Linked DNA regions of Mus musculus: regions 1, 2, 4, 5, 6 and 7 are each reported to be linked to region 3. Evidence: microRNA targets listed by miRTarBase, many of them from high-throughput screens and not tested one by one. Region 3 holds a microRNA gene; each other region holds the end of a gene's coding sequence.
What was found. Region 3 holds the annotated microRNA mmu-miR-3473c (UCUCUCCAGCCCCCAUAAUAAG, at 2,885-2,906, shown strand). A microRNA usually pairs through its seed, bases 2 to 8, with sites in the 3' UTR of a target mRNA and lowers its output. Matches are read on the target gene's strand: a 7mer-m8 pairs with bases 2 to 8, a 7mer-A1 pairs with bases 2 to 7 and ends in A, and an 8mer does both.

Region 1: the mRNA of Zbtb9 is a reported target of mmu-miR-3473c. Seed matches in the 3' UTR shown: 8mer at 1,075-1,082.
Region 2: the mRNA of Serpinb1c is a reported target of mmu-miR-3473c. Seed matches in the 3' UTR shown: 7mer-A1 at 1,047-1,053.
Region 4: miRTarBase lists Tradd as a target of mmu-miR-3473c. Seed matches in the 3' UTR shown: 7mer-m8 at 873-879.
Region 5: the mRNA of Slc26a2 is a reported target of mmu-miR-3473c. Seed matches in the 3' UTR shown: 7mer-A1 at 1,577-1,583.
Region 6: miRTarBase lists Atxn7 as a target of mmu-miR-3473c. Seed matches in the 3' UTR shown: 7mer-A1 at 2,007-2,013, 7mer-A1 at 2,606-2,612 and 7mer-A1 at 3,814-3,820.
Region 7: the mRNA of Aqp3 is a reported target of mmu-miR-3473c. Seed matches in the 3' UTR shown: 8mer at 464-471.

What each region holds. Positions count from the first base shown.
Region 1 is chr17:26,974,443-26,978,520 of GRCm38, forward strand. It overlaps Zbtb9 (zinc finger and BTB domain containing 9), which reads left to right. Exons shown (of 2, transcript NM_001005916.2): 2 at 1-1,761. The coding sequence ends at 560. Among named protein-coding and RNA genes, the nearest start is that of Zbtb9, 3.3 kb to the left of the region's middle.
Region 2 is chr13:32,878,411-32,882,488 of GRCm38, reverse strand. It overlaps Serpinb1c (serine (or cysteine) peptidase inhibitor, clade B, member 1c), which reads left to right. Exons shown (of 7, transcript NM_173051.2): 7 at 264-1,092. The coding sequence ends at 656. Among named protein-coding and RNA genes, the nearest start is that of Gm35899, 15 kb to the right of the region's middle.
Region 3 is chr1:191,997,430-192,001,507 of GRCm38, reverse strand. It overlaps Mir3473c (microRNA 3473c), which reads left to right and starts at 2,874; the gene lies at 2,874-2,954. Traf5 (TNF receptor-associated factor 5) reads left to right here. Exons shown (of 14, transcript NM_011633.2): 13 at 1,540-1,710; 14 at 3,501-4,078. The coding sequence ends at 4,078.
Region 4 is chr8:105,255,735-105,259,734 of GRCm38, reverse strand. It overlaps Tradd (TNFRSF1A-associated via death domain), which reads left to right. Exons shown (of 5, transcript NM_001033161.2): 3 at 1-25; 4 at 106-298; 5 at 440-1,160. The coding sequence ends at 750. Among named protein-coding and RNA genes, the nearest start is that of B3gnt9, 2.6 kb to the right of the region's middle.
Region 5 is chr18:61,194,730-61,198,807 of GRCm38, reverse strand. Slc26a2 (solute carrier family 26 (sulfate transporter), member 2) reads left to right here. Exons shown (of 4, transcript NM_007885.2): 4 at 1-1,954. The coding sequence ends at 670. Among named protein-coding and RNA genes, the nearest start is that of Gm52353, 7.0 kb to the left of the region's middle.
Region 6 is chr14:14,102,474-14,106,551 of GRCm38, forward strand. It overlaps Atxn7 (ataxin 7), which reads left to right. Exons shown (of 12, transcript NM_139227.4): 12 at 834-4,078. The coding sequence ends at 851. Among named protein-coding and RNA genes, the nearest start is that of Psmd6, 16 kb to the right of the region's middle.
Region 7 is chr4:41,089,701-41,093,778 of GRCm38, reverse strand. It overlaps Aqp3 (aquaporin 3), which reads left to right. Exons shown (of 6, transcript NM_016689.2): 6 at 77-1,055. The coding sequence ends at 245. Among named protein-coding and RNA genes, the nearest start is that of Aqp3, 6.4 kb to the left of the region's middle.

The sequences.
Region 1 (4,078 bases), not on the chromosome of region 3:
TCTTATATGTGAATCAGGAAAACGTTGAGTGTAAGGAGGAGATAGCAAGAGGCACAAAGGAAAAGACCAAAGTACTATCTGGAGAGGACTCTGAGGAGAAGGAGGAGCTGAGATACTTGCTGTCCTCAGGAGGAGGGGAATCGTCTGGGGCAGGAGATCCATCGTGGAAACCAGTGGATCTTCATGGGAATGAAATCCTGTCAGGGGATGGAGGACCTGGAGGAACAGGGCAGGCTATGCATGGGCCTGTGAAGCTAGGAGGGACACCCCCTGCAGATGGGAAGTGCTTTGCTTGCTTGTGTGGAAAACGGTTTGCAGTAAAGCCGAAACGAGACCGACACATCATGTTGACGTTCAGCCTTCGCCCTTTTGGATGTGGCATCTGTAATAAACGTTTCAAGTTGAAGCATCATCTAACAGAGCACATGAAGACCCATGCGAGAGCTCTGCATGCGTGTCCCCATTGTGGCCGTCGATTCCGTGTCCAGGCCTTCTTCCTTCGCCACCGGGACTTATGCAAGGGCCAGGGCTGGCCCACTTACCACTGGACTTACAAATGACTACTGGTGCTCTCTAGTGATTTCTAGGACAAGATAGCCCCTGCTGCTGCTGGACTCTTACCTTCACCACCTCAGTCCTGGATTGTATAATCATTCCAAGAGATTATATATATTGTCATGAACCCCTTACTCTTGGGTATGGGTCTCACCCTGGTAGTCCAGGTTTAGACAGACTTTAGAAAATCATGCTTCTGGTCACTTAACCTAAATGGCCCTTTTTGTATTGATAGCCAGTGAAGGAACTGCTGAGCTCAGATTAATGAGAGAGGAGTTGGGGCATAGTCACCCAGTAACTCTTAACTTCATCTTCATGGGGGGGAGAGGGAGCTGGTCTCCAACTAGGAATGCATTTGATTCAGAGCTCAAGTAATTGCCAGACTAAGGTCTGAGCGGCTTCTCCCTCCCTGTTAGCAGTATTCTGTTTCTGTACTTTCTGTCATTTTCCAGATGCTTTTTAGGTTCTCACCAGTATACACCTTTCCCAAATATCCTTTTAAAAATACTTGAGTGGGGCTGGAGAGATGGCTCAGTTATTAAAAGCACTCTGCTCTTCTAGAAGTCCTGAGTTCAATTCCCAGCAACCACATGGTGGCTCACAACCATCTAAAATGGATCTGATGCCCTCTTCTGGCATGCAGGCATACATGCAGACAGAGCATTCATACATTTAAGAAAAATGTATTTGAACATGCAACAAGTGTGGTGCACACATTTAATTACAACACAGAGGAGGCAGAGGCAGGTGGATCTCTTCTAAGTTCAAGGCCAGCCAGGGCTACACATGGTGAGACCCTATCTTTAGGGGTAAAAATAGTACTTGAGCACTTTAGCAAACTGAGCATTTCATATTCTATTCTGAAAGTCCATAGTAGAGTGTATTCCCTCAGCAGCCTTCACCTTGTCCGCCTTTCACTACCACTGATAACTTGCTTATGATCACAATGACAGATATGACCCACGAACTCAGGAGATGGCAGGTGACCTACAAAGCTCTCAGGGTGGCATTTGCTCTCTGAGCAGATCGCCCTGCTTAGAGGAACTCAGGGTTGAAACCACACGTGGTGAAGTCTGCAGAGGAGCTACAATGGGACCGTACTGCTTTCTTCACCCACACTTGGTAGAGGTAGAGGGGTAGATAGTAGAATGGAGGTGAAGGGAAATTTAAGGTTGTTAATAAACTCTGCCCTGAAATCTAAACTGACAGTAGACTGGCTTGAGTGAGTGCTGTGGAGATGCAGAGCTGAGCTGCAGGAGAGCTGAGCTGCAGGAGATGAGTGTGTTCCTTTCCCAGCCAGTTACATCAATGGGAGAAGAGTGAGCTGGTATCAGAGACTTGACATGGAGAGTGCTATCCTGGACTCGGGCAGGCCCTGCTGCTGCTGAGGACCCTCAGGTGAGTTACTTTATGTCTCAGAGTCTGACCTGCTGCTACTGCTTGGTTCTCTGTCTTGGTTTGTCGAGATCTCGTCTTACTATATAGCCCAGACTGGCCACAAACTCAGGATCCTCCTTCCTCAGCCTGTGTAATACTAGGATTACAAGCACATATTGACATGTCAGGTTTATGTCCACTTTTTGAAAGGCTTTGGGTCACATAATATTAGCTTAAATTATTTCCTAATTTCTGGCAGTATGCATAATGTTAGATGGCACTTTGATTTATTCTATAAATACTTAGAACAGAGCAGTGTGCGAGCCCCTGGTTTTCCCTCATTGGAACAATGTCTCAGTGAGTAAGAGTACTCAGTGCTCAAACATGAAGACCTGAGTTCAGATCCTAGCACTCACGGAAAAAAACCCAGGTTTTGGGCTGAACAGAGGGTTCCACGGGCACCTACTGACAAGCCTGACATCTTGAGTTTGCTCCCCAGAACCCACATGGTGGAAGGAGAGAACCTGCTGGGGGCAGCAGGGCAGCCTGCACAGGAGAGGAGTGGGGGAGAGGAGGGAGGGAGTCAGGCATGGGTGGTCCATGTGGTTCACAGCTCTTGACTGACTAGCAATCAGGTGCCTCTTTATTTATATAGGTTTCACAGAACACAGACAGATTTAATGATTATCCAAGAAGTACAGATTGTGTGTTTGATTTTTCATTACATGTCCAGGGCTACAAGCTCAGTCACCATTAGAAAACACAAACAGAACAGATTTTAATAAATCTATTTATTTATTTTGGTTTTCCAATACAGGGTTTCTCTGTATCCCCCTGGCTGTCCTGGAACTCTGTACACTAGGCTGACCTTGAGCTCAGAGCTCCACCTGCCTCTGCCTCCCAAGTGCTAGAATTAAAAGGTGTGGGTCATCATCACCTAGTGTCTTGGGTTTTTTGTTTTGTTTTGTTTGATTGGTTTGATTGGTTTGGTGCTGGAGATTGAATCCAAAACCTCACGTTTGGAATTACGAATCTCACAAGTGAGCTACAAACCCAGCTGAGTCTTGATCTTGTGGCACTGGACTGAAAATAAGTTTCTCAGGCTTAGATTTTTCAAAACTTACTTTAATAAGGTTTCTTACACACTTTAACCTCCCTTCTAGCCCACCACCACTAGAGGGAGAGGAAAGGTTAACAGGGCAAAGGAGGGACGTGGGCCTGTTTAGAAATAGTTCTTGCCAGGCGGTGGTGGCGCACACCTCTAATCCCAGCACTTGGGAGGCAGAGGCAGGCGGATTTCTGAGTTCTAGACCAGCCTGGTCTACAGAGTGAGTTCCAGGACAGCCAGGGCTACACAGAGAAACCCTGTCTTGAAAACCAAAAAAAAAAAAAAAAAAAAAAAAAAACCCGAAAGCAAAAGAAATCAATCGTTCTTTTGGGCAATTCCATTCTTCATTATCAGGATATTGCCAGTTCAGTTCATAGGGAGCAGCAGCAGCAGCAGGAGCTCGATCCACTCACAAACACCATTCATGAATCAACAATGACAGTTTGATCCAGAAGAAACCATGAGGCTCTGCCAATCACCCTGAGTCCATGGAATGCGGCAAGAATTACCAGAAGTTCTTTGGTGTGTTTCTACAAACTCATAACAAACAATGGTCAGCAAAGAAGGCAAGGCTAACCAATGCCTCAACATGGTCAGTGAAGACCAGCATCAGCAAAGCCCAATAAAGACCAGCAAAGAGTGGCAAGGTGAGCCAATGCCACACAGTCATCTGTGGCCTGTTGGGTTATTTCTACCCTTTCCAAACATGGGTTTCTCTGTGTAGCCCTGCCTGTCCTGGAACTCACTTTGTAGACCAGGCTGGCCTCAAACTCAGAAATCCGCCTGCCTCTGCCTCCCGAGTGACATGTGTCCTCTTAAGTATCTGCTCTAGCAAAACACATGCCCTTTTCCCAGTCAGCTTCCAGAAAAACACCACATGTCCTCGGCAAAACCCTTCCACATAAGACAGTTTCCAGAAAAACATCACATGACACAACTGAGCCGCCAAAGAAACCAGAACTTTCCACTTTAGGCATGGGTTGAGGATGTGAGTTAGTGGTAGATGCTTGCCTAGCAAGTACAAAAGGTCCACAAAAT
Region 2 (4,078 bases), not on the chromosome of region 3:
GATATATGTACTGATAAACAGATATGTGGATAAATAGATGATAGATGTATTGTTTTTAAAAAATGTACTTGAACCCTCAAAGACATGGAAAATAATGGTGCTATATTCCATCAGCGGACATATAAAATTAAATCTATGTGGAACCTGTTTGAGTAGAACACATGAATAAAACCTTTGAGATGTGGCAATTATGAGTCAGTTCATTGGAATAGTACCTCATTACAGTAATAAATTAACTGCTTTCTGCCTTACATTAATTCCAGATTGAGAAACAATTAACTTTGGAAAAACTGCAAGAATGTGAGAACTTACAAAACATTGATGTCTGTGTCAAATTGCCCAAATTCAAGATGGAAGAGAGCTACATCCTCAACTCTAACCTGGGCCAACTGGGAGTGCAGGATCTCTTTAGCAGCAGCAAAGCTGATCTCTCTGGCATGTCGGGATCCAGAGATCTTTTCATATCAAAAATTGTTCACAAGTCCTATGTGGAAGTGAATGAGGAGGGAACAGAGACAGATGCTGCCATGCCAGGCACTGTTGTTGGATGCTGCCTGATGCCCATGGAATTCACGGTGGACCATCCATTCCTTTTCTTCATTCGGCACAATCCCACGGCTCATGTGCTCTTCCTTGGCAGGGTTTGTTCCCCATAGAAGAAGGAGACTTTAGAGATACAAGGCAGAGCTTAGAGTTTCATTACCTGAGATTTTAATAGTGATTATTTTCACTTGCCCTTGACCATAAAACCTCTATCAGAATCAAACTTGACTTTATTTTGTAAGAAAGAGCACAACTCCATTGGCTTTTTATATCCATGTCTTTTGGCATGGGTGTGTCTATTTTGTTTTTACACTGAAAAAAAAATGCTGTTGTCACTGTCAACAATGTCATGTTTAAAGTCCAAAGGACAAAATAGATATAGTTTTCTGACCATAAGGTAACCTGTACAATTGACCTACAGTACTGACAGGCATGAAAATATGTAGCTTTTCCTAAATCAGTTTTTTCTCAGTCTAAAACTAGAGTAAGACAAGAAGAAAGAAGGAGAGAGAGAGAGAGAGAGAGAGAGAGAGAGAGAGAGAGAGAAAGAAAGAAAGAAAGAAAGAAAGAAAGAAAGAAAGAAAGAAAGAAAGAAAGAGGGGGAGGGGAGGGAGGGACGGAGGAAGGGGGGAAGGAAGGAAGGAAGGAAGGAAGGAAGGAAGGAAGGAAGGGGAAGAAAGAAAACCAAAAGTAATAAAGCACTAATAAAATTAATGGATCCAAAGTAACAATTACTGTCTATGTTCTTTTGTGATTTGTGAAATGAAACAATGCTATTTCTTTTACAGAGTTTTGGAAGCCACAATAGAAGGCATCTCTGGCTGTTGAAACCAGGGTTAAAAGCAGATATGCCATAGGAACAAATACAACTGAAGGATCTCCTTCTTGTGAAGACATACCTTCTCCATGATTCTGCCCTGTACAGTTAGTGTTCTCATTAATCAGCTACTCTGGATTTCTTGATAAAGCCTCTTGACCCCCATTACTCAGGTAGCTATGGTGATAAGATGGCTTTGTGCAATGTGAAGGAATTTGGGATGGGGACTCTTGGGTTGATATGACCCTTTGTCCGATGCACTCCTTTGGATGGGTCTTGAGATTCTACTCTTCAAAATTCCTCAAGATTGGTAGATTGTAACAAACCTAAGATTTTTTAGAATTTGTAAGGCAGATGATGTCCATCCTCTTTCTCCCTGGTCTCAGGCAAGTTAAGGCTACATTCACTAAGATAACTGGCCTGACAATACAGATGTGGTGAAGACTCAACTGGTTGAAGCAAAGACCTTTCACAGAATACCAGGAAACTTTTTTCCCTTTTGCCCTATTCCCAGACTGAATACCAGTGCTTACTGTATCCAGGTTATCCTAGCTGTAGTACAAAAGCAGCAGGCATGGTCTCTGCAGCCCCTCCTTCGTGTTACTTCATTTAGTTTGAAAATGGAATGTTCCCCAGAGGCCCATGTCTTAATAGTTTTGCCCCAATATAGTGTTACTGGGAAATGGTGAGTCTTTTAAGAGGTGTGGAGGTAGGGAGGGACTCAAGAAAAGCCATCATTATGAGATGTGTTCCTGGAGGGGATGTATGGCCCAGTCCCTTCTTTCTTCTGTTCTGTCTCCACATGAGCTATTTGGGTTTACTTTCTGCTCCTTGCCATTGCCATCCCTCCCAGCCCAAGTCATCACCGACAGGAGTCTGAGATTGAGACCAAGTCCTTCTTTGCTCTTCATAGGCTGGTTACTATCTAAGGTGCTTGTCATGGCAATGACAAGGTAACTCACACATTCCTCCAGCAAAACCCACTGTTTTCATCCTACATGGTGTTCATCATCCAGAAACTGAATTCCAAGTGTCTAAGCAACTCTGCTCAACTCCATTTTGTCTGAGAGGAAACTAGAAGTAAGTTGTTAAAGGTCAAACATATTTTTAAGTCACAGATCATAGACTAGATTTTAATTCAGCTATTATGTAAACATATGTAAATATGTATATATCCCTATGAATATATATAATATATATAATATATATATAGCAAGTATTTATATATGTGTGTGTATATAGCATGTGTGTGTGTGTATGTGTGTGTGTGTGTGTGTGTGTGTGTGTGTGTGAAACCAACCCCTAGGACAACTATAACATCAAGAAAGCAAGCAGTCAGTAATGAGATGCTATAAGATAGGAGGAATTACTGCAAGATTCAAGAGAAACTGCAAATTCAGGGGCAAATCCATCCACTGTTCTCAGCAGCATTTGCCAGTCCAGAGGAGGTAATGAGAACGGAGATTGTATCACTCTTAAGGCAAAGGGAAACAATTTGTCCTTCCAAGTGTAGGACTCCCATTTTCCTCCTCTGCTTTTGCATGAGCCCCAGAGTATGCATCAAAAGCTCACAGCTGTTCTGCAGTCTTTGGACAAACCCAGTTTCCAACCCTAGATTTAGATCTGCTTTCTGTGGGTGCCTGCAGATACAAACTAAATTCATGTCTGTCCAGGGTAGGGGAGGTAACCTGAAGCCTCAGACCATTATTACAATCTGCTTTTCAAGTATAACATCCAGAGAATAATCAAAGATAACTGTTTGGGTGAGCTGGCATGGCAACAGAGACACAAAGCAGCACAAACAAAAAAGAATGACAATGATGGAAGACTCTAAATGTTGATGCCACCCATACAAACCAGAGATCAACAGTTTGTGAAGATAGCATTGATTAAGGTCAGATACTTTAGCAGGCAGATGGAAACTTACAAACTACACTACATGTCTGGATGAAAAGAGACTAGAAATCCCAGAGCTTAAACATATAATAAATTATTTACATAGAAAAACTTAGATAACAAGAAAAAGAATTTGTGGATTTTAAAGTCTGATGAAGAAATCATTATAATGATTAAGTAATTAACTGCTTTTAGTTTCTTCTAGAAAGTCCAATGTAGTCATTAAAACTCAAAAGTAAATGTGGAAGGTACGGAAGGAATAAAGAGTTAGGATGAAGCCAGGTAGTGTTATTCTCAGCAGTCAGGAGGTAGAAGCAGAGACAACCTCTATGATTAAAGCTAGCCTGGTCTACTAAGTGAATTCCAGGACTGCCAGGCCTACACAGAGAAACCCTATTTCAAAACACACACACACACACACACACACACACACACACACACACTCACTCACACTCACACACACACACACTCACACACACACACTCACACTCACACACACACTCACATACACACTCACACTCACTCACACACTCACACTCACACACACACAGATGATGAAGATGCATAAGGTAGGGGTACAGAGTAGAATAACATATGAAGAGCAAACATTTGGGCCAGGAACATGGCTCAGTCAGTGAATTGCCTCTCCTGTGGTCACGGGGATCTGAGTTTGGATCACTAGCACCCATGTAAAAGCCCTGTGTGGAGGGGTGCATGTATAACTTCAGCATTGTGTTGAGGGGGGACAGAGACAAGTGTATCCGTGGAGACAACTGGCCAGCTAGCCTTGCCAATCACTAGCTCCAGGCAGATGCAGTAAGA
Region 3 (4,078 bases):
ACCACATGGTGCCCCACAACCATCTGTAATGAGATCTGATGCTCTCTTCTGGTGTGTCTGAAGACAGCTACAGTGTACTTATATATAATAAATAAATAAAATCTTTTTAAAAAAAGAAGAAGAATAAGAAGAGAAGGGCTGGAGAGATAGCTCAGCAGTTAAGAGCACTCGCTGCTCCTGCAGCGGACCTAGGTTCAATTCCCAGCACATACATGGTAGGGAGTTCACAACCATCCATAACTCCAGTTCCAGGGATCCAATACCCAACTTTGACCTTTGCGGACACCAAGCACATATGAAGTTCACAGACATACATGCAGGCAAAACATTCACATCAAATAAGATGAATGAGCCTAACTATAAATCTTTTAAAGAAAAGAAAGAACATCCGGGTGAGATATGGCTTTTTCCATTCAAAGCTATGATCAGCTTTTAGTGAGCAGCAAGGGGTTTTCTTCTTAGCTTTTAACATGAAAACCATTTCAAATGCATAGAAAAGCCACCAGACGTGGGTGATGCCAGGGGCACCAGTGCAGCTCTCCCACATCCCATTCAGCACTTCGTCCCATTTGCTCTGTTTCTGGCACCCTTGTCTCTTCTGGGTGTGGCCAAGGACCACCAGAGAGAATACCGCATGTGTGTGGCCCTCTGCAGCTGACAGTAACACTGTCTCGTACATGAGTATATCTATACCCATGCTGGTAAATGCAACGTTTATACCATACTTCCATGGTATGTGTGTAAAATCATTAATTCCCTTTGGGAAGGGCATGCCTTAAACATCACTCGATGAATCCTGAATGTTAACTAACCACAAATGGACCCCTAACAAATAAAAGTTCTCTCATGACCAGATTTGTAGTGATTTAAAGACATATAACATGGGCAATGTGTTTGAAATGTGTATTGTTCCAGGAAATCTAGGCCATAGAAGCTTTATTCTTCTTCACCACAGCATATACATATATACATACATGTATGCACCTGTTCTACATGTGCTGGGCACGTATGTGCAGATGTGTGTGCACATATGTATATGTATGTGTTAGTATGTCTAGGAAAAAAAAAGGAACCTATCACACTATTAGTTCTGACATTTTCCTAAACAGAGAGCAATAGGGTGGAATTAAGACTATATGGGCAAGGCAGACAGATTAATATCCTCCATGTGAAAGATCCATAGAGTGTGTAGGCTCTGCCTGCTCCTGCCCAATCTTGACCTCCTTACAGAAAGGAAACTTTCTTCTGAGGGAAGCAAGGCTAAGGCAAGAGGGCCACAAAGTGCATGTGAATACATGGAGGGGAGACTTTAGACACATCGGGGAAAGCTCAGAAATTCACCAGAGGAGTCCAGCCTGGAAAGGAAGAAGAAGATGGCAGCTGCTGACTCTGCCATGTCCACTGAACCCCCTCTCTGGACACTGCCACTTCCATTTCATGAGTGGATCATTCTATGTGAAATGTTTGTGTTAAAATTCAGTCAACACGCTACAAATCCGATGTCTCGTTTCCAAGACATATTCTCTTTTTTGTACCGCAAGGCTCTCACCAGTCACACGGACAAGTCAGCTTGGCTGGAAGCGCAGGTGCGGCAGCTGCTACAAATAGTTAACCAGCAGCCAAGTCGACTTGATCTGAGGTCTTTGGTGGATGCGGTTGACAGCGTGAAACAGAGGATCACCCAGCTGGAAGCCAGTGACCAGAGATTAGGTACGTGTGTGTGTGTGTGTGTGTGTGTGTGTGTGTGTGTGTGTATGAAGCAGTCGGGTTCCCTCTCATGGCTTCCCTGTCTGTGTGCATTTGTGGTAGAAGCTAACAAGTCACAACCAGCTTTCTGGGTTGCCCAGTGGCTGAATCCTGTTTGTGAAGCAGCATGAGATTCTAGCTGCCTCAGAAAATGAGGGTCTCCACCATGTGTGTGGAGTCAGACGAGACTGAAATGGCCCAGGCAGTCCCAAGAGCTGGGAGTGGTAATCATTAAGAACAAGGGAGAGAGGTGATGGGTGTCTTAGGCTTTGGTGCACTGGGGCCAGTGAGATTGCTTAGCAGGTGATTTGCTATGCAATCGAGATGACCAGTGTATCAGTGGCTTCTCTGTTGCTGTGACAAAGCACCATGACCAAGGTAACTTGTAGGAGGAAGTGTTATTTGGGCTTATGATTGCAGAGAAATAAGAATTTACCACCATCTCATAGAGAAACAGCAGGCAGGCAGGCATGGCACTGGAGCAGCTGCTGAAACCCCAAGCCCAGTGACACACCTCCTCCAACAAGACCACACCTCCTCCAACTAGACCACACTTCCTCCAACAAGACCACACCTCCTCCAACAAGACCACACCTCCTCCAGCAAGACCACACCTCCTCCAACAAGACCACACCTCCAACAAGACCACACCTCCTCCAATAAGACCACACCTCCTAATCCTCCCCAAACAACCCACCAACTGGGGACCAAGTATTCCAATGCTTAGGACTTAGGACACACAACTCATTGAAACTATAACACCCAGAGTTTGATCTCTGGAACCCACACAGTGGAGAGAAAGAACCAACTATTGAAAGTTGTTCTATGACCTTCACATGTATACTATGGTGTACATGCCTTCACTTACACACACACACACACACACACACACACGCACGCACGCACGCACGCACGCACGCACGCACCACCAACAGTAACAACAATAACAATAATAATAAGACTTTATAAAGATATTTATTTATTTGTTTTATGTATGTGAGTACACTGTTGCTCTCTTCAGACACACCAGAAGAGGGAATCAGATCTGATTACAGATGGTTGTGAGCCACCATGTGGTTCCTGGGATTTGAACTCAGGGCCTCTAGAAGAGCAGTCAGTGCTCTTAACTGCTGAGCCATCTCTCCAGCCCCCATAATAAGTCTTTTAAATGTAAAATTCATTATAGGAGTTGGGGAGATGGCTCAGTAGATAACACACTTGCTGCACACATGACCTAGAATTTGGATCCTTGTAGCCATGTGATTGCTGAGTGGACTGGAGGGCTACCTGTGGTCCTAGCACTCTGGAGGCTGACACAGGATCTCCAGGACAAGCTAGCCAGAATATCAGGGTTTAATTCAGTGAGAGAACTACATCAAAAGACTGAAATACTACTGGGGAAGACACTCAGTATCAACCTCTGGCCTCTGTATGCCACAAGCACCTCACAGCCAAACACATGCAAGTATGCACAGACACTTACATCACAAGCACACTCGTGTGCATGCATGCACACACACACAAACACACACAGTTAGACGGGCACAAGGCTCAGCATGAGAATTCACTCGAGGTGAATGTCCAATGTGTCTTATACTCAGGCAAGCTGAGAGTGAAGAGGGAGGATACATCCATGTCTGCTTGGCGTCAGCTTACCACGATTGAGTTAATGTTAGCAATGCATGTAGTAGTTCACAGGTAGTGCTCAGATGACAGGCCCGAGCTGCAGCCTCCTGTCCTGTGTTTCCTTCCAGTTCTTTTAGAGGGGGAGACCAGCAAGCACGACGCACACATTAATATCCACAAAGCACAGCTGAATAAGAACGAAGAGCGGTTTAAGCAGCTGGAGGGCGCCTGCTACAGTGGCAAGCTCATCTGGAAGGTGACAGATTACAGGGTGAAGAAGAGGGAGGCCGTGGAGGGGCACACAGTGTCCGTCTTCAGCCAGCCTTTCTACACCAGCCGCTGCGGCTACCGGCTCTGTGCCAGGGCGTACCTGAACGGGGACGGGTCGGGGAAGGGAACGCACCTGTCCCTGTACTTTGTGGTGATGCGCGGTGAGTTTGACTCGCTGCTGCAGTGGCCGTTCAGGCAGAGGGTGACCCTGATGCTTTTGGACCAGAGCGGCAAGAAGAACCATATTGTGGAGACCTTCAAAGCTGACCCCAACAGCAGCAGCTTCAAAAGGCCAGATGGCGAGATGAACATTGCCTCTGGCTGTCCCCGCTTTGTGTCGCACTCTACTCTGGAGAACTCCAAGAACACCTACATTAAAGACGACACACTGTTCTTGAAAGTGGCCGTGGATTTAACTGACTTGGAGGATCTGTAG
Region 4 (4,000 bases), not on the chromosome of region 3:
TTTGAATTACATCTTAGCCCAGAAGGTGCTGCCGTCCGTAGTTAGGATGGGATGGGCGGGGATTCGCGGCCCAAAGCCGCACTGACTGTGCACCCCTTCGTGCAGCCCGACCGGCTCAGGGACGAGGAACTCGCGGAGCTGGAGGATGAGCTCTGCAAACTGACGTGTGACTGCACTGGCCAGGGTGGAGCCATACAGGTAGCTTCTGCAGGTTCGAAGTTCCCGGTTTCCTCTCCGACCGAGGAGAAACCACTGCCGGCCGCCTGCCAGACTTTTCTGTTCCACGGGCAGCTCGTAGGTGAGGTTCATCAGCAGAAGCGGGGGGTCACCAGCAGGTCGATCTGAGCAGGGCTGGGCCCAGGTATCCGAAGGCAGGTGCGGAAGGGTGCGGGCTCCAGGGAACCGGTGCTCACTCACCTCTTGCTCACTTCTTCTGCAGTGAACCGGCCACTGACTCTTCAAGACCAGCAGACGTTTGCGCGCTCGGTGGGTCTCAAGTGGCGCAGGGTGGGGCGCTCGCTGCAGCGTAACTGTCGGGCACTGAGAGATCCTGCCCTCGACTCGCTGGCCTACGAGTATGAGCGTGATGGGCTATACGAGCAGGCCTTCCAGCTGCTGCGCCGTTTCATGCAAGCCGAGGGCCGCCGTGCCACACTGCAGCGCCTGGTGGAGGCGCTGGAGGAGAACGAACTCACTAGTCTAGCAGAGGATCTGTTGGGCCAGGCGGAGCCGGATGGCGGCCTGGCCTAAGTCTAGTACTGTGGGGAAGGGCGGCCAACCAGCAGTTCAGTGTTTGAAACCCACGGGTGGCTGTTGGGGTATTTTTTTACCGCTGATGTTGCTACTGCTGACCACTTTCCATCTACTGGACTTGGAGAGCATACGCACGCCCCACCTAGCTGAGCTGCTGGAGTGCAACTAACTGCCCCTCCCCCCGCCCCCCAGGAGCCAGGCAAGCAGCGCAGGGGTAAATCACTGATGATCATACAAAAAGAGGACTTGCTGCAAAGACCCTCTAAGTACCCGGACCTTCTGAAACCTAGCTCAAGGTGCTACAAAAACTGTCGGGAGCAGGATGCACGATTTTCCCCGCCCTTGGCATATACTCATCGTGGGACCGAAGCACCTTGTCTGCAGCGATAATAAAATGTAACTCTTTTACAGACTTGCGGAGATGCTGAGGTCTAGACCTGGTTGGGGTTAGTCACCTTCAGTGGAATAGTGAGCCAGGTAGAGTAGGGAGTGGAGAGACAGGCAGGGTTCGGGTAGGGCCTTGAGGAAGGTGAGAGGAAGGGGTTGCTACCTGTCCTGTTAGTGAAGGATAACCGGGGGTTTGGTGAACCATCATATACATTAGGTTTGGTTTTTGTTTTTGTGTGTGTGTGATCTAAGTATGTGCTTAAAACATCTACCGTGTACCTGAATTAGAAAATTAAAATTTCAGCCAGGTGGTGGTGCACGCCTTTAATCCTATTTAGCACTGGAGGCAGAGTCAGGTGGATCTCTGTTTGTTACAGGCCAGCCTGGTCTACAGAGTGTGCCTTTAATGCTATCTAGCATTGGAGGCAGAGTCAGGTGGATCTGTTTGTTACAGGCCAGCCTAGTCTACAGAGTGTGCTCCAAGACAGCCAAGCTCTCCTCCACCCCCACCCCCCACCCCTTTTCTGTTGAGATCTTCACCCTTGTTTCCACGGAGACTGACACCTATAAGATTCAGACTTTTTACATACCATGCGGTATTCAGGATGTTGAGGCAGGAGGATTGCTTCAATTTGGAAGTCAGCATGAGCTACATATTGAGACACCCCCACCCCCACACAAAAACAAAAGCAAACAGACAATCTGGGTTTCCCCACTTCCCCTGCCCCAGGATTTCCAACTTACATTGTTACTAAATTCAACCTTCAAAGTTTATTTGAGGTGGGGGGCTTGGCCAATGAACTTACTTCTGTATCACACATACTCAGAAACCCTAGTTTTCTGATTGATTTTTGTGGCAGTGCGGATATAACCAAGGCCCTGAGGAAAGGTCTACCACTGAGCTACATCCTGGCTCTTGCTTTTTTGTTTTTTTGAGGCAATCTCACTGTGTAGCTCAGGCTGGCTTTGAACTCATGACTCTCCATCCAGATGCTTCTGACTCCCGAGTGCTGGGACTATAGATGTGTGCACCAAATGTGCTAGAAAGTCATCTACCGACCTGGTGGTGGCGGTGGCGGCACATCTATGATCCCAGCACTTACTTGGCAGGTGGTTCCCTATGAGGCCAGCCTGAGCTAATTAGTGAGTCCCAGGTTAGCCTGGCTAGGGTTCTGCTTCAGGCCCTTGTACCCACATGAACACACACACAATTAAAAAATCTTCAGGGGTTGGAGAGATGTTTCTTTCTTTTTTTTTTTCTTTCTTTTTCTTCTGTCTTTTAAGACAGGGTTTCTCTGTGTAGCTCTGGCTGTCCTGGACCTCACTTTGTAGACCAGGTTGGCCTCAAACTCAGAAATCCGCCTGCCTCTGCCCCCCCCCCGCCCCCCCCCCCCCCGAGTGCTGGGATTAAAGGCACGCACGCCACCACGCCCGGCTTTTTCTTCTGTTTTGTTTTGTTTTTCGAGACAGGGTTTTTCTGTGCAGTCCTGGCTGTCCTGGAACTCACTCTGTAGACCAGACCGGCCTTGAACTCAGAAATCTGCCTGCTTCTGCCTCCCAAGTGCTAGGATTAAGGTGTGCACCACCACCACCTGGCCTTGGGCTCTGTTTCCTAACTTCAAGTTAAACCTTTGTCTTCTTCGTGCTCTTCTGAGACTTCACTTTTTTGTCTTTTACTGCCTTCTACCCGGCACCCAAGCCTAATTTTAAAAAAGGATTTAGAAATGAAAAAAGAACAAGGGATGTGTACATAAAATGCCCCTTTCTGCCACACAGTTGCTGGGTGGAAAGTCCAGAGCAGCATAGAGACCAAGGAGTTCAGATCCTAACTCCCTGCCCCACCTCCTGACCCCATATACCACACCTGCACATCTGTGTGTGCATACGTGCACACCTATCCCCAAAGTTCCTCCTTCCGTGGCTGTTTAGAGACTCCAGAGTTTGACCCTGCCCCTTATTATGAGACAATGTCTTATGTAGCTCAGGTTGGCATCAAGTTCCCTGTGAAACCAGGGATGGCCCTGAACTTCTAACCCTCCTGAGTGCTGGGGTTACAGGCATGTACCACCGTGCCTACTTTATAGAACGCTCGAGCTTAAACTCGGGGCTTCTCACATGCTAGGTCTGCAACCGAGTCACACCCTCAGCCTTCCAGAGTTGGGATTTTATAACAAGGCCAGTGAGACACCTTTGGAGGCCTTTGGGCAGGAAGCCTGGAGAGGAGAGAGGCCAAGACAGAGATAGATAGAGAATGGGATGAATATCAACAGCTGCTTGGGAGGAAGAATGCAACAGGCCAGTGTCCTTGGCTGAGGACTAGGGCAAGCTGATGGCCAGGAGTCATATTTGCCAGTGGGATGAAGGCCTGGGGAGACCCTGATCACTCTATTCACTAAGAATGACTATCCTGGTGACTCTGGAGCTCAGCTGTCTCTATAGTTCCCCAATTGAGGAAACCAATCAAGAATGGAGCTGGAATACTAGTGTAGGCTTGTAATCCCAACACTTTGGGCGTCATTAGCTTGAGGCTATGCAGGGTACATAACACAGCTTATCCTCAGAACCCTAAAAGACTAGTGGGCAGGTAAGAGTGGGTGGTTTGGCCTGGATGACAAAGCAGCTCAGAGGTAGGAAAACCAGGGGATCTAGAAAACAGCCTACCTGGGCTCAATGGGCTCTTCTAGAAGCCTCCCGCAAACACCAATCCCTGACACCCCAAACTGTACTGCAGAGGCAACAGCATGGGCAGTTCTACCTCAAGGATGCTATGTTGGGGAGCAGGAACGGGCATGGAGTGACAGGAATGAAGAGCTTGTCTGGGAAATTACTGTAGGCAGAAGTGGTTCCATTTCCTGTATCC
Region 5 (4,078 bases), not on the chromosome of region 3:
GACTATGCTGTCCTCCGCTCTGTTAAGCACTGAAATAGGCCTGCTGGTTGGGGTTTGTTTTTCAATGTTCTGTGTGATCCTCCGTACTCAGAAGCCAAAGAATTCACTGCTTGGTTTAGAAGAAGAATCTGAAACCTTTGAATCCATTTCCACTTACAAGAACCTTCGGAGCAAGTCCGGCATCAAGGTTTTCCGCTTCATAGCCCCTCTCTACTACATAAACAAAGAGTGCTTTAAATCAGCTTTGTACAAGAAAGCTCTTAACCCAGTCTTGGTAAAGGCAGCTTGGAAAAAGGCAGCAAAGAGAAAACTCAAAGAAGAAATGGTGACCTTTCGTGGGGACCCGGATGAAGTTTCAATGCAGCTTTCCCATGATCCCTTGGAGGTGCACACTATCGTGATCGACTGTAGTGCCATACAGTTTTTAGACACAGCAGGAATCCACACACTGAAAGAAGTTCGCCGGGATTATGAAGCCGTTGGGATCCAGGTTTTACTGGCGCAGTGCAATCCTTCTGTGAGGGATTCCTTGGCCAGAGGAGAATATTGCAAAAAGGAAGAGGAAACCCTTCTCTTCTACAGTCTGTCTGAAGCAGTAGCCTTTGCAGAAGACTCTCAGAATCAGAAAGGGGTGTGTGTTGTCAACGGTCTGAGTCTCTCTGGTGACTGAGAAAGTTAATCTGCATCTTCCTGGTAACTGGGCAAGTTAATAAAAGGAAGAATAGTGTCTTGCCTGTTTCAATGTGGAACGTTTTCTACTGTGAAAGGAGAAAGCCATGCACACTTGAAATAGTTCTTTGAAGCTAGCCTTTCGATAGTCTCATGAGCTTTTGGTTGGGTAGAATCAAAAAGAAGTAAATGTTATGGCTTCCGGCTTATGCAGATAGCATTCTTGGGGTACAGTATAAATGGAATGGAACTGTAAAGCAGCCCCCAACTTAAGTGCCTTACTTTAGGAACTATATATCTGAACTCTGTCCTTCAGGATGCAGAGCGAGGTAACGCCGGGCTTTGCCTGACACACACTGCAGCTCTAGAGAGGGGACGAAGAAAGGAGGCAGCGCTGCTGGTACAGAGGCTGGAAAAGCACAAGGGCCTACGGACCCTGCTGCTGTGTCTCTGTTAGGATTTTGCTCCCCAAACAGTAAGATCTCTTGCTGATAGTTAGAAATCATCATTTTTCCTTTCCTTCATGCAAGAACCGTGCCATAGTCTCATAAGAGAATCTGACCTCACAACCAGCCTGATACTATTGTATAGAACCCATATTGTAAATATCTAATGTCTTAAGTCTTCCCTTTTTATTTAGAATAAGTGGGTAAAGAAAGAGTTTAAAACCAGAATGGCAGTGGAAGTCTTTGTCTCTCTTCATCTCTGTCTTTGTCTTTGAGAACTTGTCTGCTGTTACGCCCTGTCTCACCTTTGACTTATTCTTGTCCCCCCCCCCCCCCCCCCCCCGGGAATCCTTGCTGAGTTGGCATCTCTGAACACCAGTGGCAGAGTTGTCAGAGAAAGCAGAGTATTGGCTCAGCAGCTTCCTAACAGCACTGTGAATGGGCTTGTGGTGCACATTCAAGGAGAGATCGTAAAAAAAAAAAAAAGAATGAACGACAGTTCCCCTTAAGAAATGCCACCCTCCCACCACTGGGGCATCTTAGGCAGTCTTTCTTTATAGAAGTGGCTGTTTATGGATGAGTACAGAGGTGATGGGGTGCTTCCAAAAGGACATCCATCATTACTTTGCAGATGGGAAAGCAGTGTTGATGCTTATGGCCACGCATCCTGTTGGCATATGATAAATATTGATGCCAGTGACCACTTTTAATGCAGGACTTGGAGCCTTCACAGGGCCCTAGATGTACTGGGGTGTCATTCTCAGGAGCTGGCTGCAGGTTAGGAGTTGAGTAGTTTCTTCAGAAAAGGACTTCAACAGGTAAGAAAAGTTCTCCCAAGTGCGGAATAGAGGACTCACATGAGATTAAAACATTTAGCCAAGTTATTAAAGTAACAGTTTCTGAAGTGTAAAATCATTTTTAGCCTGTTCTTACGTGCAAAACAATTTAAAATATTTATGGGAAGCACTCTGTGTAAGGAACCTAGTGAGGTGGAATGCTTTCAGACATTTTACACGTGCGAACTCCAGGAGCTGCCCCTGTGGTTCTCCTAGTGACAGAGCACGCCTGCTTGCCTGTGTGGGAAATAGCTTTCCATGTTTCCAGTAAAAGCTTCAGGGTAGAAAATGTGCATTTCTGGTGGTTATGTTGATAAAATCCACACTGGACTCTGTCCTAGAGTTCTGCAAATGTTGACTGCTGCTGGCTTGTTCTTTTGTCTCCCTAGCTTTATGAATAATTGAAAAAATCACAGTATCCTAGCCATTTTTGAAAATCCCTCTTGCCCTTTCCTCAGGCATGTTGGAATTAAGCCGGTTAGAGATGTTTAATACTCAGAGACAGACTGGTAGGCAGGTACACGGTCAGTGGGGCAGGAGGGGTGTTCAGGAGTTAAGAGCACTTGCTACTCTTGCGGAGGACCCAAGTTCAGTTCCCAGCACCCACATTAGGCAGCTCACAGCCACCTGCAACTTTAGCTTCAGGCAATCTAACCCTCTTCTAAACTCCATCACACACACACACACACACACACACACACACACACACACACACACACACACACACACCTCTCTTTCTAAAGCACTTGTTTAAGATAACTGTATAATCCATTCAACACCAGAGTAGAAAAAGAATTTTAGCTGAGTGTTTGGAAAGTCTCTGCCCTCTGACTGACTGTAAGGTCACAGTGTGGACCTAACTGGTTCAGGAGCTTTACATACGCGTTAGCTAATCTTCGAGTTCTCTTCTGATTTGTGTTTGTCCCACAGAAGCGAACAGGAGCCTACTTTTCAGTAGCCATTTTAAAATGCGATTGCGCTGGAGTCTGCTGCTGCCTTTCTCTTAGGGTTGATCTCTTCCTAAATCGAACATTAAAACTGATTTTGATTGCTGATATTTGAAGGAATCAAATTTAGAACCAAAGCCTAATTTACCACCAGCATCAAAAAACAAGCCATTTTCATTTCCTTTTTGATGCTTTGAACATATTTATAAAAGTTATCTTGCTCACTTTGAACATTAGAGTGTAAAATATTTCCTGGTTGTTTGCAGAGAAGTAGAACCCTGAATGCTGTTAAATGACTATCGTTTATTTAAAATACAGAGTGTACATGTCTGTGTATTTTATGACAAGGTCTTATATAGCACAGGCTGGCCTCAAATACGCTAAGTAGCCAAGGATGATTGTAAACTGTTGGTCTCCCTGCTTCTGCCTCCAGGTGCTGGAGTTAACAGGTCCTAGGGATGGAGTAAGCTAGTGAGTATACAGACCTGCTATGAAAGGAACACAGTTCAGGGGAGTGAAAGGTTAGATCACCAAGATCTGTACTGTCCAGAAAGGAAGAGACCTGGCTGGATCTAGATCCTGGTAAACCCCACAGTAAGATCAGAGTTCAGGAGCTTGCCTCCAAGAGCAGTGTTAGAAGTAGGTCCTGTTTCTAGATGGGGAGAGTCCCAGGTTCACCACAGCTCCAAAGAGCTCAGAAGCATATGCTCACGTTGTAGCCAAAGTCTGGGTGAGCCTACTCAGGAGTACTGTCCTCCCTGTGAGCCGAGTGGCTGTAGTGCTGTGCTCAGGAGTACTGTCCTCCCTGTGAGCCGAGTGGCTGTAGTGTCTCGGACAGAAGAAGACTGGCAGGTGCCGAGTTCATTCTAAGCAGGGTCAATGGGACAGGTATGATTTATATAAAGTCTTTCAGCACAGTGAGTGGTGAACTTTGAGACTGCCTGAAGTGATAGATGAATTCATCAGACTAATGCTTCTGGCTACATTGTAGCAAAACCAGTGAGCCTCTGCAGGGATGTTTCTGGCAGCTTGACATTTAAGAACATGTTACCAGGATTAACTCCTAAGCTGCAAAGGACAGAAAAGAGTAGGTTTGGGGACTAATGCCTCTTCATTTACGGCGACGGCTCGAGCTCTCCACAACACCCATCCAGCCACCCACACACACCGGTGAGTGTCC
Region 6 (4,078 bases), not on the chromosome of region 3:
ACTTCACAAATCCTAGGAACCCTGTGGCTTCCAATCAGAGGACATATGTGAACCTTACAAGCTGTTTTTCAACTTTATCTGTCAGTGGGAGGAATCTTACAGCTGCATACAAATCTCAGAACTCATGACTTAAAAGTACTTTAAAGAATGCTATCCCTAAAACGGCATGATGGCACATGTATTAAATCCCAGCATTCTAGAGACAGAAGCAAGCAGGTCTCTCAGGGCTACACAGAGAGACCCTGTCAGAAAACAAAATAAACACTTTTTGTAGAGAAGTAGAAATCACAAGTTTGCTATCTCTTGTGGAGGATACTTGTGCTTGGATTGGCTAGTCTCTGAACAGAGAAGTGAAGTACAGAGCCCACAACATAGCAGTGTGTAGCCCCTCCCTGGCCTGCAAATCCGTTCTTGCTTGGCTTCTAGATTTTAAATTACCCCGTGGGAAGGCCAGAGTTCTCTCCCTATGCTGTAAGCAGTGCCTTGGGTTTAGACCTCCAGACCTGTGTGTTAGCACATCGAGTTTTCTGAATTAACAGCCTAGAATACCTTCAAGGACACAAGTTTAAAAAATGAAAACAAACAAAAAATTCCACCTTAGATTAGAAGGAAACCGGAGGGCTAGACCTCCACACAGCGGCCTCTTGTTGCCCGTTTGTTTTTGGTTTTGTTTTTGTTTTTTGAAAAACAAAGCTTCAGGCTGGTCCTGTAATGGCTTTCCCCGACCCCAGCAGGTCAGGGAGCTTAGGTACGGGATGATACCCTGGTGTAGAGTCGGGAGCACTGCATCCAGCCACTTACTTATGTATCTCCTCATCCCTCTGTTTTGAAAGCCAAAGGCACGACCCTGACAGCTGACAGTACCACTGGAAGGAATAATCCAGACATTTTTGAAGACAAGCTACGCCTCTGCTCAGCACTCTGGACTCCACGATGCCTTTGAGTCTCTTTTTCTAACTCCTGTGGGCCTTCAGGGTAACCTCTGGCTGTTTGACAAGGATTTCCCGAAGCTGTGTCTGTAGCAGTGAGTACAGGTAAAGAACACTGGATCACCTCAGCCACCGGATTGCTCTCAGTGTTAAAGTGGTCTGGACTGCTTGCTCCCAATCCGTGAGAAGTTTGTGTTTGTATTGTGTTTTGTTTTGTTTTTTCATTTGGAGCATATCATGGAGTCACTCTTGAAGTAGATTGGCTGGGGAGGATCATTTCTGTAGCCTTGCCTTCCTTTTTCTTTGCCATCTGTCAGTCAGGCTCCAGAAGGTAGGCACCTTAACTGGAGACTGAAGGCCTCCAAGGAAAGGGGAGTGAGCTGCATCCTGAGAGCCTCCTAGAGGATACCTGGCTTTAGAGTTTTATAGCGCTGTTGAGGAATAGTACACTGAGATGTTTGTTGGTCAGTGCGTCATGACATAGTAGCCCCGCACCTTTTCAGTTAATTTGGGATGAGAAGCTTATCAAGTTCTTCAGACGTGAGGACTGGCTCGAAGCTGCTGACGCCTGGATATTAAGTTTAAAGGATCTCAGAAGCTTAGTTTTTATGGTACAAAAGCATGTGTGATAGAAAGAGAGAAAGAAAAAGGAAGAATGAAGAAAAGAAAAATGGAAAGAGAGACAAGGAAAGCAGTTGGTGATGAAAAGCCAACTGGGACACTGGATTCAGGGAGGTGAGAAAATTTTCAAGTGAGGCAAAATTTGTAGGATTTCCAAAGAGCCTGACTTGTCTCGCTGCTGTGATTGTGTTGATCAGTGTGTCAGATTGGGTCATTGTCTTACTCGGTCTGCTTTTTGAGATTTGCCTTTTTAAAAGTTATTATCATGTCCTTAAAATTTCCAAGGCATTACTCCCACTTCCTCTTTGACTTAGTGTTTGAAGAAGTAAGTGTGAGTCTGTGCTTCCAGGCCTGCTGCCTGCCGTGTGTCTGTCCCGGCTTCCTGCCAGTCCAGTCGCTGGTTGTTTGAATGCAGGTGGGCTGAGGTGGGGATCCCCGAGAAAGGGTGCGTGCCACGGAGAGAAGCAGCTCGCAGAAGGGGGGGTGTTTACTAGTGCTCACCCTTCTCTGTTGTGACAGTGACAGCCATCTGTCTTCCTTTAGTGAGGCTTAACGCCCTCCTTAAGATTTCTCAGTGCCCCACTCCCAAAGAATGTTTAATGTGTTAACACATTGCTTGAAAAGACGTCTGCCAGTGAACTTGGGCATGATTTAGGGCCGGCCACTGTAACACCTCCTGCTCAGAGGACCGAGTCCTCGGGCTTAGGAAGAGTACAGCAGAGTGGCCTACAGGACAGCCCCCAAGGCTCCTAGCCCTGTCCTGGCCAGTGTCTGGGCATAGCCTTTCTCTACAGTTCTTAGATTACAAACTTGAGATTCAGGGAATTTCAGTCAACAGCAGGTAGAATGAATACATACTTGGTTACCAGCCTAATAATGTGAATTGCTACATTTACTCTTATTATGTAAGAACACAAAGACTTTATGCAGATACTTTAACTGTAAATTAATGGAAATGTTGAATTTTTTAAGGAAGGGAAAACAAAATCTTATTCACTTATTATGCAGTCAGTCAGTGAATGTTTGTTTTAAAGATGATACTAGAGCAGCTCTGAGGAGAGAGCCCAGATGGGCCAGTGTGGAAGTTAGGAGGCTCATCTGGTTGTCTCTCCTAGTGCTGGGCAAGGAGGAGAGGGAATCCAAGCTCACACAGTCATTACTCGATGACAAGTGCAATGGGGTATGGGGAAGATTTATTTTCAGAGCCGGGACTTGATGGTTATAAACAAAGTTGCTTTTAATGATGGAATTTATAGACAGATGTTCCAAAAGATGTGAATAGGAGCCACAATAGGAAGTTTATTCAGAATAAAGTAGATACTTAGGTTAATGAGTGTTATAATTTGATTCCTTAGACTGGGACTTTAATTGAACTTCATTATATCTCCAGGAAACACACAGAGCCTCCGGATTAGGAAAAGCCATTTTTTGGATTTTGCCTGCCACAAACAGACATATTCTAAACAGTGCTACTAAAGTTTAGACTGTTCAAATATTTTATTTTCTCTGACAACTACTTTTTATGATGATGAACAATTAAGACCATTTAAAATATGGGAGTACAAATATTTTTTTGAATTTAATCTTAACTTGCAAAAAACAAATTTGCAGTGCTTGGGTTATTTCTAGACAGACTTCGTTCGGTGTCAATTTAAAACCACCATAATTTTTTATATTCTTTCCAATAGAATTCATAACAGCTTCTGCAGTTTTCTTAAACTACAAAAAATAAAATAAAAAATAAAAAATAAAATAAAAGTGCTGCAATGATGAACAAAGAATTATAAAAAAACCTACTTTTGTATCTTTATTTTGGAATTTCTTGTTCTATTATAAATATGGAAGTATCCCTATTTCAGAAGACATATTTTGTTAAAAATGAATTGTACATATTTAAATAAGTATTTTTGCACAGGTCTTTTTTTCTGATATCCTGTTTTGGTACAATTGAGATCATCTAGTATTTATTTATTAATTAATAAAAATAAATACCTTTTTATAATTTGAAGTGGTTCACTGCCAAGCCAGTAGTTTAGAACCTGCCTCCTTTACAGTTAAGGGATGCCTCTGTTGTGTGGGAGTCGCTGTCCCTTTTAGTGTCTTGGGAGTGGTTTTATACAGATGAAGCGGGCACGGCGTCTCTGCTGCCTGATTTCCAAATAGACTACATGGAGCTAAGTGACACACTGCTTTTCCTTGTTTAGTGAGTGTGTGAGTGTGTGTGTGTGTGTGTGTGTGTGTGTGTGTGTGTGTATGAGAGAGAGGAGAGAGAGAAGGGGGCAGTGAGTGTTCCCACTTGCCCGCTTGCTCTCTGAGCACACCCGTGTTATTAGTATATGATGTGGTTTAAAACTAATGAGGAAACAAACAAAACACACTGAAAGTGCCTGAACCTAGTTTAAGCTCAGACAGACATCTTTAAAGACTTGAATGCTGAGTTGAACTTTTGGAGTTTGCTTTTTCCACCTAAATATTATTTCTTAAAGTTTTAGGGAAGAAGTTAAAAGCCACCAAGACTGGTGATTTTT
Region 7 (4,078 bases), not on the chromosome of region 3:
AGTACAGTCCCCACTCCCCAGCTTGCCTCCCCTCTTCCTGCCGACCTGTCTCTGATTTCCGGTGTTCTCCCTCCAGGACTGGCCGGCACTGGTGGTGGGTACCCATTGTCTCCCCACTCCTGGGTTCCATCGCTGGTGTCTTCGTGTACCAGCTCATGATTGGTTGCCACCTGGAGCAGCCCCCACCCTCCACCGAGGAAGAGAATGTGAAGCTGGCCCACATGAAACACAAGGAGCAGATCTGAGTGGGCAGCAGCCCCCCTCCCCCACTGTGCACTCTCCTGAGTGTCCACTGACTGTGTGGGGACCAGTCCCCGAAAGCCCTTTGTGATGCCTCTCTCGGGCTAAACCGCTCCCTGTGTCCACCCCTGCTGGATGGGCCCTCCAGAATTTCTATGAACTCTGCCCATTAGGGCATTAGGTTCCCACCCACCTTTAAGCCAAGGTAGGATAGCAAATAAGATGGAGAGAGAGAGAGAGAGAGAGAGAGAGAGAGAGAGAGAGAGAGAATGAATGTGTACATGTGTGCTGTTTTCTAAGCTGAATGATGCAAAGGCAAGGGACCAAGTTTTCAAAACAAACTGTAGCAGCTCAGGGGAAGGGAGCCCAGGGGAAGGGAGAAAGTGAGTCAGGAATGTGCCAGAGTGTGCATGCTTCAGGGACTCCTCCATGTGGAGGTGGACCCAGAAGTGAGTTTCTAAGTATGCGTGTGCCTACTGTTTTTTTTTTTTTTTTTGAAATGGACTTCTAGGCTTGGGGAGGGGGAAGGGATAAGAAGGGTGTAGCTCACATCTGGAGCTATGACCCTTGACTGGGGGCTGTGTAATATGTTTCTGTTATAAGATAGACATTGGGAGGGGCTGAAGTCCAGGTCGTAAGTTTCATAATTTGTTTTTTAAATATATAAATATATACATACATATATGTTACAGCCCTAGGAATAGGGGTGGGAAACTCCACTTTTTAAAAGGGGTTTCCTTTCTTTAATCCTCCAATCAACAATGTACTGTTGCCTTTTATATATAAAAAAGAATAAAACGTATACATGCTACAGGAACTTCTTTTTGTGTGTGTTTTTTGTTTTCAAACAGGGTCTCTAGTCCTGGCTATCCTGGGACTCTGTATACCAGGCTGGCCTTGAACTCATGGATACCCCCCTGCTGACATTAAAAGCATGTGCCACCACACCAGAGTCTTGTTTTTCTGGGAATAGCATTCGAGCGTTGGTTTTATTTGGCCATAAATTTCCAGATGTTTAGTTCAGAGTCTAATCTTAGCTTGTATTCAGTGGTCTCAGATTCCATCCAATGGAGCATCTTCCGAATCCTCCTGTCTCATCCCCTTCCACAAGGAGGAAGTTTGGAGCCCCTCTGGTAGGCAGAGCCACCCAGAGACTGGAGAGGCTAAGCCTATGGCTCAAAGAGGCCAGTCAGACTGGGGACCTGTATTGTCCTCTAGAGTTGCTAAATCTCCATCCAGACTCTTGGCTGTGGCACTCTTATCAGCCTCCCTCCAAGGAGTCAGTCCACACAGGTTCCTCAGGGTATCTTCCTGTGGATAGGTCTCTTTCCATGGTCCTCACCACATCTCCACAGTCCATCTGCATCGGGTTCTCTTGTAGCTGTCCTTACCCACCCTGTCACAACGGTCTCCCTTCACTCCTGGCTACTTTCTCTCTTTCCTATCCCTCTTCTAGGAAATGGGTTACTCCTATTCTTCATCTTCCAACCTAAAAGCCACTTGCCTGGATCAAGAACCTCTCCTGTTGCCTTCTGGGACATGTCCGTGCCCAGTAAGGCAAGGGTTATGTGACTAGCCTGGCACACCTGAGCCCAGGAAGTGCGCCTCATTTCCAGCTTCCTTAATACATCTGACTTAAATTTCACCAGGAATATAAGGGAAACCTTTCTGCAGCGTTAACCCTGTAGGAGCCAGGAGATCCCCGGCCTGCATAATTATGCCCTTAAGGCTCTTGCTCAGTAGCCCCTTCACAGATGAGACCCATGCCCAGAAAGGGTGACCTGCAAGTTCAGGCCACAGAACTAGGGTTGTGAAAGGAGTCCCTGGGACAAGACAATTCCTTCGTGGATCTCCACCCTTTCCTTATTCCCAACTTCCAAGAGGCATCTCTGGAATGCTGGAGAGACCTGAGCCAGAGGGAGTGTCCCTTTCCCAGACCCCGAGGGGGAAGAACGTTAACCTTGAGAGCAGAAGGTGCCTGTGAAGTTTCCTTCAGTGTACCAAGCAGTTTCATTCAGCCACACCAGTTCCCCCTTGGCCCCCATCCAAGACCCTGCCTCAGCATCCTTCTTTTCAGCCAATGGGGAGCAGGAAGCTTGAGATGCCATCACTATAGGGTAGTGTCCATCACAGCTACTAGGTGTGTTTGTGTGCCTTCTCTGGACCTTAGTTTCTTTATCTGTGACACTCGGGTTAATAAAAATGGTAAATAGGCAGAGATGATTCATAGAAAGGGCTTAACGTAGGCTGGCGAGATGCCTCAGTGGGTAATGGCACCTGCCGTCCAGTCTGGCAAGCTAAGTCTGATCTCTGGAACCCAAAGACTAGAAGAAAGAACCAATTCTCCAGAAAGTTGTCCTCTGAACGCCACACTTGCACTCTGGCCTGCTGATACATATACATACACGCGCGACAGTAAATGTAATTCAGAATGTAAGTGAGCTAAGCAGTGACCAGGAAACAAATAATAAATGGGGGCTCATGATGGCTTTACCTGCAGAACCAGGATGGGGCAGGAAAGAAGGAGTGGAGGTGGGGAGCTGTTTTGTAAAGACCATTGGATTTAACGAGCACCTTTCGTCTCAGATCCATCCACAAGTGTGGATTTACTGAAAGGGGAGTGAGGAAGTGGGGTGGTGGCTTGCCCCGCTGTGTCCTGACCCTACGAGGCTCTTGGGTTGGGTAGTAAGGAATTGGTATAAGAAAGGCAAGACAGAGGGAGCCACGAGTGTGTGGGGTGGAGGACGGAACATGAGCTAGGCAGCCACTCTGGGACTCCTCCAGATAAGGAGTTCCCCTTTAATCCTCCACTTGGAATAGGCAAAGTCGTGACTATTACCAAATTCTGGAAGGAAAATTCCTTACTTCCTATAAGAAAGCTTCTCCATTTCACAGAATTTATTTTCAGGGAAGCCGGAGGAGGGGGGAGGGAATTGTCCCACGGTGTGGCTGCTTTGTCCCAGGGCTTGCCAAGGGCTTTTTATGTGTCTGTACCAAGCCCTCACCACAACCATTTTAAAGAGCCAGTTTTCTTCTCTCTGTCTGTCTGGTCCCGTCCCCCCCCCCCCCGCTTCATTTTTCGAGACAGGGCTTCTCTATTTAGCTCCTGGAACTCACTCTATAGACAAGACTGTCCTGGAACTCATATAGATCTGCCTGTCGCTGCCTCCAGAGTGCTGGGATTAAAGGTGTGTGCTACCACTGCCTGGCTGGAGCCATGTTTCTTAAAGCCGATGATTTGCACCAGTGAAATCAGCTCCCTGAAACATGAGCTGTTTGGATACCTGGCCCTGTGTCTGTGCACACAGGGTGCACACAGCCCTGTGTTTCTCAGGGCTCCTTGTGGGCCTGTTTTTCTCTCACAATGTTGGGCTGTCTGAATCTCTAGTTTTCTTCATCTTTGGCTTTCTCTGTGTGTTACCGCCTAAGTCTTCATTTACCTCTTAAGAGGCATCTCTGTATGTACCCTGAGTCCATTTCTCTGTGCCCTTGGACTGTACCTCTAAGTGCAAGTAACACCAGCCAACCATCTCTGCTCCAGGGCATGTCTTCTGAATTCCTGGTAATGAGCTCTGGCTTGCTGCTAACTCTTATAGATTTTGTTTTTTTTTTTTTTTCTGAAAAACCTGGGTGGGGCATCCACAAGCTTGGAGAAACTTGGGTGAGGTAGAGTTGGGTGGGGTGGGAAGGCAAGAAGAAGGCCAACTCCACCCAGTATAGAAACGCTAGAGCAGGAGTTCTCAATCTGTGGGTCGTGACCTCTATGAGGCTACATTGTGCACACCTTGCTTGTCAGATATTTACTTACAATTCTTCACAGTAACAAAAATACAGCTAT